Linked DNA regions of Macaca mulatta. The protein of the gene in region 1 purifies or fractionates together with the protein of each later gene. This does not show direct contact. Links are inferred from orthologs where the notes say so. Each region holds a gene or a part of one and is shown in the gene's direction. Other genes may lie near its edges. The genes, in order: NAP1L1, NAP1L5, MAGED2 and H2AX.

What was found.
Region 2: the proteins of NAP1L1 (region 1) and NAP1L5 purify together in Homo sapiens (affinity purification with mass spectrometry; 3 studies listed by BioGRID and IntAct, counting the BioPlex papers as one, with this or other methods). This does not show direct contact. The link is inferred for Macaca mulatta from reciprocal best matches to the Homo sapiens genes NAP1L1 and NAP1L5.
Region 3: the proteins of NAP1L1 (region 1) and MAGED2 purify together in Homo sapiens (affinity purification with mass spectrometry; 4 studies listed by BioGRID and IntAct, counting the BioPlex papers as one, with this or other methods). This does not show direct contact. The link is inferred for Macaca mulatta from reciprocal best matches to the Homo sapiens genes NAP1L1 and MAGED2.
Region 4: the proteins of NAP1L1 (region 1) and H2AX purify together in Homo sapiens (affinity purification with mass spectrometry; 3 studies listed by BioGRID and IntAct, counting the BioPlex papers as one, with this or other methods). This does not show direct contact. The link is inferred for Macaca mulatta from reciprocal best matches to the Homo sapiens genes NAP1L1 and H2AX.

The regions. Positions count from the first base shown.
Region 1 is NC_133416.1:83,254,295-83,258,780, reverse strand, and holds the start of NAP1L1 (nucleosome assembly protein 1-like 1), read left to right. Parts: upstream 1-1,611; 5' UTR 1,612-1,889; coding exon 1,890-1,956; exon of another isoform or gene 1,957-2,048; intron 2,049-2,215; exon of another isoform or gene 2,216-2,328; intron 2,329-4,486. UniProt on the Homo sapiens protein: Histone chaperone that plays a role in the nuclear import of H2A-H2B and nucleosome assembly.
Region 2 is NC_133410.1:98,014,711-98,018,926, reverse strand, and holds NAP1L5 (nucleosome assembly protein 1-like 5), read left to right. Parts: upstream 1-1,429; 5' UTR 1,430-1,541; coding exon 1,542-2,090; 3' UTR 2,091-3,374; downstream 3,375-4,216.
Region 3 is NC_133426.1:54,645,950-54,650,320, forward strand, and holds the start of MAGED2 (melanoma-associated antigen D2), read left to right. Parts: upstream 1-1,549; 5' UTR 1,550-1,621; intron 1,622-2,267; exon of another isoform or gene 2,268-2,410; intron 2,411-2,489; 5' UTR 2,490-2,518; coding exon 2,519-2,563; intron 2,564-2,903; coding exon 2,904-3,395; intron 3,396-4,022; coding exon 4,023-4,331; intron 4,332-4,371. UniProt on the Homo sapiens protein: Regulates the expression, localization to the plasma membrane and function of the sodium chloride cotransporters SLC12A1 and SLC12A3, two key components of salt reabsorption in the distal renal tubule.
Region 4 is NC_133419.1:119,778,602-119,782,327, reverse strand, and holds H2AX (histone H2A.x), read left to right. Parts: upstream 1-1,537; 5' UTR 1,538-1,612; coding exon 1,613-2,044; 3' UTR 2,045-3,127; downstream 3,128-3,726. Other genes in the region: DPAGT1 (UDP-N-acetylglucosamine--dolichyl-phosphate N-acetylglucosaminephosphotransferase), read left to right, coding at 1-18; HMBS (porphobilinogen deaminase), read right to left, coding at 3,726-3,726. UniProt on the Homo sapiens protein: Variant histone H2A which replaces conventional H2A in a subset of nucleosomes. Nucleosomes wrap and compact DNA into chromatin, limiting DNA accessibility to the cellular machineries which require DNA as a template.

The DNA.
Region 1 (4,486 bases):
CAAGAGCCTTCATGGGTGAAGTGCCAAAAATTGGTGAGGTTCTCTGGTGTAGGATAAAAACCATCACAAAAGCTAACTTCTCAATTTTGTCTCAGAAATTCTGCTACCATAAAGATTTATGGAAAGTGAAAGTTATTTAGTTCATTTTAATATGCTAATTACCTTGCATTGTGCAAAGCTTTGATTAAAATGCAACATTCCTGAAGTTCTCATTGAAATTAACGTGTCAAATTTATGTTCAAACTGAGCACTGATCTACATTGTTTATGTATAGTGGGTTCTTCCTGAAGATCCATTATTGATGCTATTACGCTCCTTGTTAGCATTACATCAGTGTTGAGAAGGGTGTATAGGAACAGGCTCTGAGAACAACAAAGGAATTGTATATGAAAAACTAAAATGAATGAATAAACAGAGGCATCTGCAGTGTAGAGTGGGAAAGGCAATTAATTTCAATGAGGTTCTGGAGCGCCAAGGAAAACATCGTATCCCCTCAAATGGAAGATACAGCTGTTAAATGTGTGGATTACAACAGGGGATTCTAGGCAGTTTGAAGTTTCAAGAAATGTAAGATTTAGAGAACAGGTTCTCAAACTTTGTAGTCTTAGGATTCCTTTACACTCCTTTAAAAGTTGAGGACCCCAAAGAACTTTTATGTGCATTATTGATACTGATACTTATGTCAGAAATTAAAAGTGAGAAATTTTAAGAGTATTTCATTTAAAAACAATAAAGCAATCAAATATTAACAAAAATAATTTTTTATATGAAAAATAGGCCCGGTGAGGTGGCTCACACCTGTAATCTCAGCACTTTGGGAGGCTGAGCCGGGCGGATCACGAGGTCAGGCGAGACCATCGTGGCTAACACGGTGAAACCCTGTTTCTACTAAAAATACGAAAAATTAGCCAGGCGTGGTGGCGGGTGCCTGTAGTCCCAGCTACTTGGGAGGCTGAGGCAGGAGAATGGCTTGAACCCAGGAGGCGGAGCTTGCAGCGAGCCGTGATCGTGCTACTGCACTCCAGCCTGGGCGACAGAGCGAGACTCCCTCTCAAAAAAAAAAAAAAAAAAAAAAAAAAAAAGAAAAAAGAAAAATAACTACTCCCTCTTGCCCCCAAATCGAGTTTTTGCAAATCTCTTTAACGTCTGGTTTAACCGCAGATGACTGGATTCTCCTATCTGCTTCTATTTTCAGTCTGTTTCCTTATCACATGTCACATAGCCTCCGGAAAACCCCACTGTACACTTGTGAGAGAATGAGAATGCAAAAGACAGTCTTGACATTAATATGGAAATAGTTTTGACCTTCCTTTTGAAAGGGTCTGGGGACCCTCAGACCATATTCTGAGAACAACTTTTTGAGTTAATGTTAGTCAATTCATCATCACTTGAAAATTAGTTATGAGGTTTTACAAGCCTGAGGATTTAATGCGATTTACTTTTTCAGAAAGATGAAACAACAGACATACTGAATGTCCTCATTACAACGCATCCAGAGAATGCACAAATATGCCATTTTCATCCGTCAAAAGAACTGAAGGGACTGTACATCAGGTACAAGTATGTGGCGGGGGGATGGGGAGCTAAGGATGACGAGCACCCCCTAAAGGCACGGAGACCCGCTGGCATAGTTCGAAGCAAAACAGGCAGAAGAGGCCGCCGAAGTGGTCTAGAGGAAAAAACTGTTTTTCTTAGACGGGGAGGGAAAATAGTTACCGGGGGCCGGCGAGTTGCAGGAATTAGGCCCTGACAGGGAGCGCCCGCCGTCTAGGCTGCGGCGAGAGAGGGACCAGGCGACTAGCGCCCGCCCTCAGCATTCCCAGCACAACGCCGAAGGGGGCGGAGCGGGCCGGGCGCCGGGCACGCGGGCCAGGCCTTCCCCACAACTGATGGGGTTGAGATTTCCTTTCCGGCTCAGCGGGGAGAAAAGAGATGGTGGGGTGCTTAACAGAGAAGGTTAGACACCGGCGGGAACCAGAGGAGCCCAAGCGCGGCGCTGGGCCTCGGGGCTGCAGGAGTCCTAGGGTCTGCAGGAGTCCTCGGCTGCGGTATGGAGGTCGCCGGGGAAGAAGGACGGTTCAGTTGCTAGGCAACCCGGCCTGGACCCGCCTCTCGCTCGCGTTGCTGGGAGACTACAAGGCCGGGGGGAGGGCGGCGAGAGGGCCCTACGTGCTGACGCTAATTGTATATGAGCGCGAGCGGCGGGCTCTTGGGTCTTTTTTAGCGCCATCTGCTCGCGGCGCCGCCTCCTGCTCCTCCCGCCGCCGCTGCCGCCCTGAGTCACTGCCTGCGCAGCTCCGGCCGCCTGGCTCCCCATACTAGCCGCCGGTAACGGATGGGGGCCTGGAAGGGAAGGGGGAACGTAGTTTTCGCTGGGCGGCCTGCGCAGATGGGAGGGCCGGAGGGATAGAGGGACTGGGAGCGGGGAGTCGGGGCCGCTGGCCGCCCAGGGCCTCCGGGGTCGTCCTGTGAGGTCGGACAGGACCGCGGAGTCTGGACCCCGGAGTCTGAGAGGGGCCCTAGGGCCGACCAGCGCTTTTATCTGGGACGGCTGAGGCGACTTAGGGGTTGGCGCGGCCTGGCGGCGTGAGGTTCTCTGAGCTCCACCGTCTTCTCCGCGTGTACCGGAGCGAGGCCGCGGTGACGCCCGGGTGCCCTGAGAGTCGACTGCGCCGCGGGGACCGGGAGGCCCCCGGCGTACGGGCCGGGCCAAGTGCAGAGCCGGCCGCCTTTTCGACACCCCCCTGCTTTTCCCCCAAAAATAATACCAGGAGGGAGGCCGCTGGGAGATGAAAGAACGGCGGAGGCTGCGAATTCCGACGGGAGGGAGGGGCTGTGGAGGGACGAGGCCCCGAGGCGGGGAGGGGGCGGGGGAGACTGCGACGCTCCCTGGCTCTCCGCCCATTGGGGGCGGCCGCGCGGGGAGGGGAAACCCCCCGGCGGCTTCCCTCCACACGTGGTAATGGGCTTCGTGGCCACCAGCTGGGCCTGGTTGGAGACCCTTGCCCTCGGGCTATCCTTACTTTGAAAGTTGTAGAGACCGTGGAACGTGAAAAGGGAGAGTAAGCTAGTAAGCCCTGTCCCTGGGTTTCAAACTCTTCCCTGCTTCTCTTTGGTCTTAATCTTTTTATTGGTACCGGAGATTGTGGATGTTAGCTGATGAGGAAGGGCCTCCACTGCTAGTATTTTAAAAAGTTAACGCGTATATAGCGCTTATGTTAACTGTTATTAGCAAAAGGTTGTTGTTGTGTTTCCCAGGTACAGTTAGATGGGTGTCTTGATCAGGATTTTTTATTTGGGGAGTATTGACCCTAATCGATCTAAACCCCTAAACCAAGCTTGTCCAACCCGCGGCCCAGGACGGCTTTAAATGTGGCCCAACACAAATTCATAAGCTTTATTATTATTATTTTGAAAAAGCTCATCAACTAGTTAATGTATTTTACGTGTGGCCCAAGACAGCTCTAATGTGGCACAGGGAAGCCAAAAGATCGGACCACCCCTGCAAACGGTTCTTAGATGAAAATAAAAAGTTTGGCCCTTTGTGACTTTAATTGTTCTTGGCTTTCTTATAAATTAGTTCGTTTATTTAAATCACTAGAATAAGATACTTAAACTGTTTCCTTTTTAAGATAGGAGGTAGGATGGAATGAGGTGTTAGTATAAACTTAGCCAAGTTTGTAGCCTGCAACCTTGTCAATGAACCCCACTCCCCTAAAGATCTCGGGGATGGCGGTGTAGGGAGGCTGGGACTGAGGTCCTATCTTGGAAGGCTAGACTTTGAGAGTACAAAAAGGATGAACCAGGCACAGGATGTCCTCAAGGAGCCCCTATTTTAGACGGTCACTGATCAGTTCTGAAACAACTACATTTTAAAAATATCACTGCTAACATTTTAAGGTATCTCACTGCTGCAATTAAAAATTCACACTGCTTCCCTGGTTTCAGAAGAGCTGTAAAATGAAATTTGGCCTTTTGAAAATAGGTGGATTCAAAACATCTTTGGAAACGGGTATCTGGGTCCTCTTTTTTTGGTCAGCTTAAATTAATACTCACTTTGGAGTTAATGGAATTAACTCACTTAAATTAATATTTACTTTGGAAGTAATACACATGACCTGTGATTGAATAAGGGAAAAACCTTTTACGTATGGGTTACCATTTAAAAATCAAAGGGAAATAAATGACATTTACAGTTATTTTCAAGGCACTCTTGTGTTTCAAGCTTGTTCGAATTGCCCAAGTTTAAATAAATGGCCTAAATCTATAGTTTAGTTCTAAGAATACTATCCTTTGGAGAATATGTGGAACTAAACCCTAGTAGGTGGACTTGGACATCTTCTATCATAAAACCTGACTTTCATAGATTCTCCTTCCAAGTCAACATTATATTAATAAATAGAAATTTAAAAGTTTTCAGTACACCGATTTGAATATTTTTCTAAATTTTATCTGCTAGAAAGTACCTATTTTCATATTAGGCCCA
Region 2 (4,216 bases), on another chromosome or scaffold:
GGGGGTGGGTAGGTGGGAAGAGGGTGGGACTGGGGGAGGGGAAGAAGAGGGTGAGGTAGATGGGGAAGAAGAGGGTGAGGAAGATGGGGAAGAAGAGGGTGAAGAGGGTGGGGAAGAAAAGAGTGAGGAGAATGAGGAAAAAGGGCGCGGGTGGGGGGAAGGTGAGGAAGAAGGCAGTGAGTGGGGAAGAAGAGGGTGAGGAGGGTGGGGAAGAAGAGGGTGAGGAGGGTGAGAAAAAGGACAGTGGTGGAGGGGAGGTGAGAAAGAAGGCAGTGAGTGAAGAAGAGGAGGATGAGGAGGGTGAGGAAAAGGACAGTGCGGGGGCGGGGGAGGTGAGAAAGAAGGCAGTGAGTGGGGAAGAAGAGGGTGAGGAGGGTGGGGAAGAAGAGGGTGAGGAGGGTGGGGAAGAAGAGGGTGAAGGGGTGGGGAAAAGGACAGTGCGGGGAGGAGAGAAGGTGAGGAAGAAGGCAGTGAGTGGGGAAGAAGGGGGGAAGAAGATGGGCAGAAGGTGGGGCATAACACAGTGCGGGGGAGGGGCAGGAGGGAGGGAGAAGATGGTGGCAAGGAAAGGTGTGAAAACAGATAATGGGGAAGGCAGGAAAGCAGATGGTGTTGGGGGAAGCCCGGGAAGACGAAAGTGAGCAGGGTGGGATAGATGGCACACGCTTTAACCAAGATAAGAGGGGGCCTTGGCCCTGGGCCCCATGATTTAGAGAGACTTGCTTTTTTTCAGCCCTCCTCAAGCTTTAGTACTTCCCACAGGCCAAAGATTCTGTAGAACCTTCTAGAACACACACCAGGACACTGGGAGCTCTGAGATTTCCTACCCAAATGACTCCAAAACTGCTTCCAGGGGTGTCCTGCTGAGAGACAACCTTGCCACCAGGGTATGTGTCGCCAGGTGTGTGGGATGGCCAAGGGGGTGTTGGGTAGACACACGGGTACAGAGCTTGGATATGCAAGCTGCCCTATCCACACATATGCTCCCCAGGTCCCCAAAAGGGTAGAATGGAGCCAGCTTGCCCGTTCCTCCACTGCCTGGAGAGGAATGTGGAGGAATCTAAGAGGTGATCAAATGCCAGCTATGGAGAGAGATGCAGAGGTAAGCGAAGACATATGTACTAGCATTTGTAGAAGGGCCTGGATGGCGGTGAGGAGCACAGGGAAAACGGGCTGAGGCCATCTACGCAGTTCCTGAAGCAGCACCTCGGGCAGCCACTGACACTCCCAGCCCAGCTCTACAGGGGGTGGGTACATGGGTGGGCTGGGAACAGGGTGTCTGTCCAACAGGCTGGTGTTGAGGGCCCAGGAGACGTCAGGGTAGCAACAGGAGGAATCTGGTGCAGTATGAGCGCACGGCCGTCAGCTGATAGTGGGGAGCCAGTCAAGTGCCGCAAAAGCAGGGGGCGGGGCCGCGGCCGACGTCATTCCCGCTGCCGCGCGTCACCGCCACTTGCCGCATCCGCAAGATCTCTCTGGACCAGCTCGGGTGCAGGGCCTCTGCGGGATCCCTCCTAGACCTCTGCGGCTTCTCCTCTAACATGGCCGACTCGGAAAACCAGGGGCCTGCGGAGCCTAGCCAGGCGGCGGCAGCGGCGGAGGCAGCGGCGGAGGAGGTAATGGCGGAAGGCGGTGCGCAGGGTGGAGACTGTGACAGCGCGGCTGGAGACCCTGACAGCGCGGCTGGTCAGATGGCTGAGGAGCCCCAGACCCCTGCAGAGAATGCCCCAAAGCCGAAAAATGACTTTATCGAGAGCCTGCCTAATTCGGTGAAATGCCGAGTCCTGGCCCTCAAAAAGCTGCAGAAGCGATGCGATAAGATAGAAGCCAAATTTGATAAGGAATTTCAGGCTCTGGAAAAAAAGTATAATGACATATATAAGCCCCTACTCGCCAAGATCCAAGAGCTCACCGGCGAGATGGAGGGGTGTGCATGGACCTTGGAGGGGGAGGAGGAGGAGGAAGAGGAGTACGAGGATGACGAGGAGGAGGGGGAAGAGGAGGAGGAGGAGGATGCTGCAGCAGAGGCTGCCGCGGGGGCCAAACATGACGATGCCCACGCCGAGATGCCTGATGACGCCAAGAAGTAAGGGGGGCAGAGATGGATGAAGAGAAAGCCCACGAAGAAAACAGCTTGGTTTTGTTTTTCCCAGAATATTGGTGGACTTAAAAAGGCTCAGGTTTTTGACCAAAATACAATGTGAATTTATTCTGACATTCCTAAAATAGATTAAATTGAAGCAATTAGATCCTGGCCAGCTCGATTCAAATTTTTCATTTTGAACATAATAAATATATCAAAAGGTGTTAAAGAAAACCGAATTAAACCCAAAATTATGTTTTCATGGTCTCTTCTATGAGGATTGAGGTTTACAAAGGGTGTTAGTAGATGCGAAGTAAAGAACGTCACTTTGAAACCCATTCATAACACAGCATACGCTACACATGGAATACCCAGGCCATGACTGAACACGTTTTCAGTGCTTAATTCTTAAATTTCTTTACTCATGACATTTCGCTGTGCAGAGAAGGCAGACCCCAAGAAAAACGTCATCTTTGAGACTTTGCTTTTGTAACGCAGACATCAGCTTTACACTTCACAGGAGATTGATGGCACTGAGGAAGACTGCAATGGAGATCATGACACTACTGTTAATAAGGCCAGGAAAACTGCCATTTCAAGTTCTGAAAAATGTTTGAGTATTTGAATTTAGAGAATAACATGGTTCCAAGAAGGAGGGTGTAAAACCTGTAAAATACTGTCAACATATGTATTCATTAGTTACAATCTCATGTTTGTGTTTTCTTAGTAGTGTCTATTTACAAAGACGTAAAAAATACCCCAAATATGTTTAAGTATTAAATCACTTTACCTAGTGTTTTAGAAATATTAATTTACTTGAAGAGATGTAGAATGTAGCAAATTCTGTAAAGCATGTGTATCCAGTGTTATGTACTTTGATCCTTGTGACGTCTTTCTGTCATGTAGCTTTTAGGGTGTAGCTGTGAAAATCATCAGAACTCTTCACTGAAGCTAATGTTTGGAAAAAATACATACTTGAAGAACCAATCCAAGTGTGTGCCCCTACCCCCAGCTCAGAAGTAGAAAGGATTTAAGTTTGCTTGTATTAGCTGTGCCTTCATTATTTTGCTATGTAAATGTGACATATTATAAAATGGTGCATAATCAAATTTTACTGCTTGAGGACAGACGCATACAGTAAGGATTTTTAGGAAGAATATATTTAATGTAAAGACTCTTAGCTTCTGTGTGGGTTTTGAATTATGTGTGAGCCAGTGATCTATAAAGAAACATAAGCTTAAAGATGTTTACCACTGTGGTGTTAATAAAACAGTATTTTCAAAAAAATAAATATAAAAGTCTCGGTACTCTGACTGCCTGTATTCAAATCCCAGCTCTGCCTCCTATTAGTAATGTACCTTAGGCAACTCAGCTAATACTCTCAGTGCTCAATTTCTCCTCATCTACAAAAGGGAATAGGAATAGTCCCTTCCTCATGGGTTACTATGAAGAGCAAATGGATTAATACATATAACGCCTATAGAATAGCATCCAAACCATGGTAAGCGCTGAATAATTCTTAGCTATTATTATTACATGAAAGATAAAGACAGTGATTGGAAATTCAATCCTCCTTCTCTCCTGTTACAAAATGGGAGAAATGGACATCACTACATCAATGCCTTCCCATGTTTCTGATTCCTTATTATGAGAGAAGAATGTGGCCTTTAATTCAGAAACACAGGAAATTAAATAAACTATCTTGTTTTGGTTTCCTCAACATAATATCAAGTTTTTATTATCTCCCAGAAAGGATAAAAGACTTCAATATAACATTAAAAATATACAAAAAAGGCTATTTCAACTTTGTTTGCTTCATTCTGAATGAAGCAGAGTTTTTTTAAAAAACTGGACTCCAAAAAAATTAAAAAATCAGATGCCATTTGCTTCATTTTCCCTGCAGGGTTAAAATTACAAAGAAGCAAAATTAAATTGCTTTATCCTAGGGAGTGGAAGGCAGCACTGACCTGTTGCTAATAACAACAGATTGTTGAGTACAAACAACCTTAAGGTAATGTTAATCTTCCTTATGCTCAGGCCAACCAAAAGAGAAAATCAGAATAGTATATTACATACGAAGTTCTGATTATCTTAATCATATGATTATCTTAATAGAGAAAAAATCTAATAAAA
Region 3 (4,371 bases), on another chromosome or scaffold:
GTAAATAATAAAGCCACAAAAGTGCTTCAAGGAAAAAAAAACGGGGATTGTTATAGGAACATGAAAAGCATCTTTAAGCAAGCAGCAGGATCCAGTTGTGATGAAGGAAAAATGGATATATTTGACTACATAATAATTAAACATTTTTGTTTGGCAAAAATTATCATAAATAACATGAAAAATATTTGTAATATGTGACACGTACACGAGAGACATTGCTGGTGGGAACGTTATTCCATGTACTTTTTAGGAGTAAGTTGACAAATTTTGTATCTTTTGTTATCAAAATGGAAGACGTTTTTGTAGCATTTGAGCTAGCAAAAAATACCCTAAATAAAAAAAAAGTGCCCCAAACAATCTAAATGTACATGTGTACTGGACTGGTTCAATAAATTATGGGACATCTATACAAGAAAAGATCATGCAACTGTTTAGAAAAATGTGCACTAACGGAAAGATTTTTTATATATAACTGGAAAAAAACAGGTCGCAGAACAGAAGGTATGTATAGTGTACCATTTGTCGGAGAGAGAACCTGAATAATTAGTATACGAATAGAAAAAAAATCTGGATAGCAAAATGTTAATAGTGGTTATTTCTGGGAGATAAGAGTGGCCTTTCATTGGTATGTTATATATTACTGCATTGTTTTAATTTTTACAACAACAACAACAAAACAACAACATATTACCTTTGTAATAAGAAAAAATGAAGATATAAAAATAAATTCAATGAATGACTTTCTTTCGGAGGCGGTTTGGGTTGGAAGAGTTTCAGACTGAGCCTGGTACAGTGGCATAAACATGGGCTTTGGCGTCAGACAGCCCTGAGCAGGGCCCCATTGCCCCACCCCCGAGGAAGGCGAGGGGGGGTGGCAGGGGGCTGCGGAAAGGGGCTGGGCTGGGTTGGGCTGTCTGCAGCTCTAGTCCAGGAGGCTGAGACTTCGAGAGGGACTTAGAGAAGGCAGACGCATCCCGAACTCGCTGGAGGACAAGGTGAGGTGCGTTGAGATTGGGGTTTTATGGAGGTCATAGAGTGGTTCCAGACCCCTCGAACCCATAGCCAGGCAGATGAGCAATTCTTACTGCACCACTGCAGCTGAAGCAGAGGTGACCTGGAGTGGTGTGTAGGCAATGAGGACGACTGAGAAAGTGGTAGGCTGTATAGACTGGGAGCAGAGACGAGCGGAGGAGGAGGGGAGAAAAACGGGGAACCAGGAATGTTGGGAGGGGGACGAGGAATACAAGGAGGGAGGGGAACACTAAGGGGGAGTGATCCAGAGAAGAGAATGGGGATGCAGAGAGGGGTTAAGGAATACTGAGGGGCAGGGTGTGCAATCGTAACACGGAGGAGGATGTAAGGAATGGGAAGAGGGAATTCTGGAGTAAATAGAAAATGTGAGGTGGGAATAGGGAGTAAGGAGCCAGGCTAAGGGAATACGGAGGGGGGCATAAGGAATGAGGAGCAGGGAGCGGGGGAGGGGCAGACAGGCTGGGACGGAGGCCCCCTAGGGAGGCGGAAAGGGGCGGGACCACTTCCGGCCTAGAGAAGGGAGGGCAGTCTCTGAGTTTCGGAGGGGCTTGGAGTGAGTGGACGCTCTCGGGAATTGTAGGAGGACGAGGTGAGCAGCCGGGCGGGCTTTTGGATGAGAGCCCCGCTAGGGGTCGGCCGCACCCTCTGGGATCTGGAGAAAACCTGTCATGAGGATCGGATCGTACCGGATCCATCCGGCTGGGAAGGGAGGGGACTGGACCCGGTTTGACCGGGCCCAAGATGGAATCACTAGCTCAATATTTATTTGAGGAGGGGGTGTAATAGGGAAGGGGCGGAACCAAGATGCGCCTGTTTGGAGGGGGGCGTGTTAGGAAGAAGGGCGGGGCCAAGAGACACTGGACTCGGTAGGGCGTGAGTAGGGGAGGGGCCGGGCCCACCAGACACTGCGACAATTTTGGAGGAAGGCTTCTTGGGCAGGGGGCGGGACCGAATGGTACTGCGGACCTGGAGAGGGGCGTGTGTCGGGGCAGAGTGCCAGACTGAGACCACGATCATTGCGCATGCGCACTATGTATCGCTGAAAGGGGCGTGTTGAGAAGGGCCAGCGCTGAGACGAGCCAGCTGCTGAATGCGCATGTGCACGGTGGACATCAAAGAAAGGGCTCGTGCTGGGAAAGCGGGCGGGGCTGAGAACGGCCCTGCAGCCGACGCGCATGCGCTCTATCGACCTGCGGCTGGGTGGGGGGTGCACTGGGAAAAGGGGCGGGGTCCTCAGAGCTGCCGCGCTGGCACATCTTCCTGGAGAAGGGGAGGGTGCGGCTGCAGACAATTGAGACTTAGAAGCTTTGGATTCCTGTATCTGAGAACGGAGTCGTTGTGGGTGGTGGAGGGGGTTGGAATTGGGGACCTACGGAAGGTAAGGATCAGCCTCCAGGCACAACAGGGGAGAGGACGTTCAGTGGGCTTCAACTTGACCCAGGCCTTCTCCTCTTCAGGCTCAGCTCTTGCCAGGCCAAATTGAGACATGTCTGACACAAGCGAGAGTGGTGCGGGTCTAACTAGCTTCCAGGTAAGGCCTCTTTCTGTCCTTTCCCCAGCTGCTTTTCCTCTCCAGCCCTTGTTGCTGCCCTAAGTCCCTTGGCTCTTCCCCTCCCATCCTTGTCCTTCTCCACCTACTTTCCTGCCTGGGTGTCCCCCTGCCCAGTGGAGGGAGGGAGAGAAGGTGGGCGGGCCCCTCTTCTGCCTTCAGTTCTTGCTCAGAGGAAAGGGAGGCCTTGTTCGGCTGAGGTGGTCAGAGCACACCGCAGGTACGAGTACAGGTCAGAGAAGTGTGGCCTTGGAATTTTGGAACCATTTGCTTAGTTGGGGGTGGGGAGAAGGTCTGTGAACTTCCCTGCTTCCTCTTGCAGGCTGAAGCTTCAGAAAAGGACAGTAGCTCGATGATGCAGACTCTATTGACAGTGACCCAGAATGTGGAGGTCCCAGAGACACCGAAGGCCTCAAAGGCACCGGAGGTCTCAGAGGATGTGAAGGTCTCAAAAACCTCTGGGGTCCCAAAGGCCACAGAGGTCTCAAAGACCCCAGAGGCTCAGGAGGCACCTGCCACCCAGGCCTCATCTACTACTCAGCTGACTGATACCCAGGTTCTGGCAGCTGAAAACAAGAGTCTAGCAGCTGACACCAAGAAACAGAATGCTGACCCGCAGGCTGTGACAATGCCTGCCACCGAGACCAAAAAGGTCAGCTGTGTGGCTGATACGAAGGTCAATACTAAGGCCCAGGAGACTGAGGCTGCTGCCTCTCAGGCCCCAGCAGATGAACCTGAGCCTGAGAGTGCAGCTGCCCAGTCTCAGGAGAATCAGGATACTCGGCCCAAGGTCAAAGCCAAGAAAGCCCGAAAGGTAAGACCTCTGCAGTCACCACCCTTCGTTTTCTACTCCTCTCCTCTCAGTTGGTTCATTTGTTCTACAAACATTTAGAAAGATCCCTGTGCTCATCAGGGCTGTGGGGGGCACTGAAAGTAATGTGATGTAATTCTTGTCTTCAGAGAGCTTGCAGACTGATGGGGAGATGAGACAGGAATACACATAGCTGCAATCTGAATATAATGCAGTTTATATTTACATAGTAGCTGCCCTGTGTTAGGCCTTGAGCTAAGCACATTTATGCAGGTTATCTCATTAAATCCTGAAAGTAATTCTCATAGCCCCAATTTTATAGAGAAGGAAGCTGAGTTCCAGAGAGGTGAAGCAGTTTTTCTAGGGATGGTTCAAGCAGAGCCAGTAGTGGGCACAGAAAGAGAAGAAGACTCAGCCTCCACCCACCCTTGGTTTGCTCCTGGCTTGCTAGGCAGATGAAACACTTGCTTGGAAGTCAGTGAGAAACAAACCCAGGGTTCAGCATAGCCAACATCTATTAAGTCAGGCTGTTACTACAGGGACGGGATTGGCGGGTGCTTCCTGGAAGAGATAGGGAGAGGAAAAGGACCACCTGTTTCATCTGGTGATGTTGAGCTTCTGTTGATGCAGGTGAAGCATCTGGATGGGGAAGAGGATGGCAGCAGTGATCAGAGTCAGGCTTCTGGAACCACAGGTGGCCGAAGGGTCTCAAAGGCCCTAATGGCCTCAATGGCCCGCAGGGCTTCAAGGGGTCCCATAGCTTTTTGGGCCCGCAGGGCATCAAGGACTCGGTTGGCTGCTTGGGCCCGGAGAGCCTTGCTCTCCCTGAGATCACCTAAAGCCCGTAGGGGCAAGGCTCGCCGTAGAGCTGCCAAGCTCCAGTCATCCCAAGAGCCTGAAGCACCACCACCTCGGGATGTGGCCCTTTTGCAAGGGAGGGTAAGAACTCTGTCCTTTTTACTCTGCCTTTTCTACTGCC
Region 4 (3,726 bases), on another chromosome or scaffold:
CTCTTCTATGATGTCTGAGTCCCTTGATCATTGTCCTTTACCTCACAGTCTCTAGGATTCCTGACTCAGGCTGACCTCTCTCTGGTCCCAGACTGCCTCCTTGCCCAGGCCTCTCTCACTCTTCATACTCTTCCAGATTTTGTTCTCAGCATTTTCTTTTCCCTGTGATCACTGGCATCCTGGGCGTTTCTTGCCCCCTACTGTCTACTGATTGGATTTTACTTATGACTTTCTGCAACTTGCTACTCTCCCTCTCCATCCTGTCTTTGCAGCCTCACAGGGTGGGATACAGAAGTTTTTTTTTTGCAGTTATCCACAGTCACATTTCAGAGTCCTGACTCTCAAGGAACTACTGGTTTTTGGGATAGAACTTGGGCCAGGGCTAGGGACACAGGCTCCACAGTGACCTGTTATTTGATTGTAAATTAAGTGTTCTGATTAGTAAGAAGTAAGCAGGGGGCCACATGCTCTCAATGGAGACAATAAAGTGTTGTCTATTTCTTATTGTTCCTGTAGGTATATTTCCTATATGGGCATTTTTGGGTGGATTGGGAGGGTAGGTGGGGGTACTTCCTCCAACAGGATGCCTATCTCTCTGCCCCACCAGACCCCGTCTAACAAGAAGTGAACAGAACTGAGACCAAACAGAACATATTGAATAAACATTTAAATCCTGATACTTCAGGTGGCATGGAGGGCCACAAAATTGAAGTTATCCTGTTTCCTGGCATGGGGTCAAACTTTCAAAGACACCAGGTACAGTGGCTCATGCCTGTAATCCCAGCACTTTAGGAGGCCGAGGCAGGAGGATTGCCTGAGCTCAGGAATTCAAGACAGCCTGGGCAACAAAACGAGACTCCGTCTCTACAAAAATAAATAATTAGCCCACTGTAGTGGAGCATTTGTAGTACCATCTACTCGGGAGGTTAAGCAGGAAGGATCCCTTGAGCCCAGGAGTCCGAGGCTTGCAGTGAGCTGAGATCACACCACTGCACTCCAGCCTGGGTGACAGCAAGCAAGACCTGGTCTATTAAAAACAAGAAAGAAAAGAAAGAAAGAAAAAGAAAACTTTAAGGGGTCTAATTTCTTCCCTTTTCCATTCTCCCTTTGTCAGGTAGGAGAAGGGAGTGTGGAGTGACCGGACCTGGAAAGGGTAGCTATAGTATTGACCCCTTTCCTTTAAACATCCTACGCCAGCACAGATTTCCCAGACGCTCTCTAGGTGGCCTCAGACTCCACCCCTTTTGTCTTCCGGTTCTGCCTTCCGACTGTAGTGTTTAAATCTCGCGCGCTTTACAAGGATTGGCTACATAAGCGGGTGTTTGGCCGTCTGCGTGCTACCCCGCCTCCTCGCCTTTTCTCCCCGGGCAAAAGGTTTTCAAATTCGACCAATCAGCGCGCGCTCCCTCAGCCGAGGCGCGACACCCAAGGGTTAACCGCAACCAACCGGAGGCGGGTATTGGAGAAAAGAGCCAATCAGGAGGGCGCAGAGGTGTGTCCTGGGGGCTTATAAAGGCGGCCTCACGGCGCGCGCGCGACAGCAGTTACACTGCGGCGGGCTTCTGTTGGGGTGTCTCTGAACCGTTGTACTTCACCGGTCTACCTCGCTAGCATGTCGGGCCGCGGCAAGACTGGCGGCAAGGCCCGCGCCAAGGCCAAGTCGCGCTCGTCGCGCGCCGGCCTCCAGTTCCCAGTGGGCCGTGTACACCGGCTGCTGCGGAAGGGCCACTACGCCGAGCGCGTTGGCGCCGGCGCGCCCGTGTACCTGGCGGCAGTGCTGGAGTACCTCACCGCTGAGATCCTGGAGCTGGCGGGCAATGCGGCCCGCGACAACAAGAAGACGCGAATCATCCCCCGCCACCTGCAGCTGGCCATCCGCAACGACGAGGAGCTCAACAAGCTGCTGGGCGGCGTGACGATCGCCCAGGGAGGCGTCCTGCCCAACATCCAGGCCGTGCTGTTGCCCAAGAAGACCAGCGCCACCGTGGGGCCGAAGGCGCCCTCGGGCGGCAAGAAGGCCACCCAGGCCTCCCAGGAGTACTAAGAGGGCCCGCGCCGCGGCCGGCCGCCAGGCCTCCCCATGCCACCACAAAGGCCCTTTTAAGGGCCACCACCGCCCTCATGGAAAGAGCTGAGCCACTTCAGACTGCGGGGCAAGCGGGCCGCGGCTCCCGGCTCCTTTCCCCTCCCATCGCCCGCCTTTGCCGCCCGGCCTCGAGTCCCCGCCCGCCCCCCTCCTGGCCTGCACCGCCTGCCGCGTCGGCCTCGGGCCCTGCCCCATCCGCCGGCCGCCCTCCGGTAGGGCTCGGGCCCTCTGGACGCGGCTTGGGCACTCTTCGGGGACCACCGTGGCGCGGAGGACCCGAGCCTGCCGGGGGGAGGCCGGCGGCGCCGCACCTGCTCGCCTCGGCGCTCGTGACTCAGCCAGCTGCCCCATCCTGAGTCGCTGAGGGGCTGCGGGGAGGCCGCAGCACCTTCTGGAAGACTTGGCCTTCCGCTCTGACGCAGGGCCGAGGTGGGCAGTCCAGGCCGAGAGGCCGGCGGCCCTGAAGGTGAGTGAGGCCCTCGGCAGCTGCAGCCAGGGTGTCCGGCACTCCCCCGGCGTGGTGCTTAGCCCAGGACTTTCAGACGTGGCCGCTGGCCTGGAGGCTTTGGTGGGAGAGACACGATCGCTGGTTTCGGTCTGGCGCCCCCTCTGCGGCCGGGACCCAGGCCTTTCACATCAGATCTCCCTCCATCTTCATTCATAGGTCTGCGCTGGGGCCGGGACGAAGCACTTGGTAACAGGCACATCTTCCTCCCGAGTGACTGCCTCCTACGAGGACATTTAGGGGAGGGCAGAGGCCTGCAGTTTGGCTTCACGGCTGGCTATGTGGACAGCAAGAGTCGTTTTCGCGGAAGCCGACTGGCAGCCAAGCCTGTCGGGCCTCCCCATTTCCCTTCCAGCAAACTCAACTCGGCAATCCAAGCACCTAGATACCAGCACAAGTCGGTTAATCCCTGTCTGGACTGAGCCTCCGTTGGCTTCCGAACTGGAATTTTGCAGCTAACCCTTCCAAGACTAGAACCTTAGGCATTGGGGAGTTTTAGATGAACTAATTTTATTAAAGGATTGTTTTTCTAAAAATGGAGCATTTGTTTTCATTTTGCAAGAGAGTTGTAGGATTAGTGACTTTCTATACTTTCCTGATAGTGGGGGTGGGAGGGGCATGCAATATAAATAGGCTCTACTGTTAACCGAAGAAGGAGCAAACCATAGGAATTTAAGATTATGGCTCTGTTTCTTGGTGTTCCTGCGAGACAATTTATTCTGTGTGAAATGAAAACTATTGAGGCAGAAGCAGAAAGGATGTACCAGGAGAACTTTGGGCAAAAGTCCCAGCCTCCGAGGTAAGGATGAAAGGGCTTTGTGTTTGTTCATATCTTCCCGCCAACCCCCCCCCACACACACACACAAAAACACCTTCAGAGCTGGTTTATTAGTAGAGTTGGTTACATTCAAAGGCTGTGGCTTGGACTTCTCTAAAGAGATGAAGCCCCCACATACTGAGGAGGCAAGGCAGTCATCAAGGCCCCAAACTGAGGCAAATCCCCGGAAGGCTTGAACCCTGCAGTTCAGTCTTCTGAGGTAATCACTCCCCAGACAGCAGTGAGAATGGGGCACTGAGGGCCGGGATGTAGGCACTGGACAGCAGCAACCGAGGCATCTGTGCCCCACAGACCAGT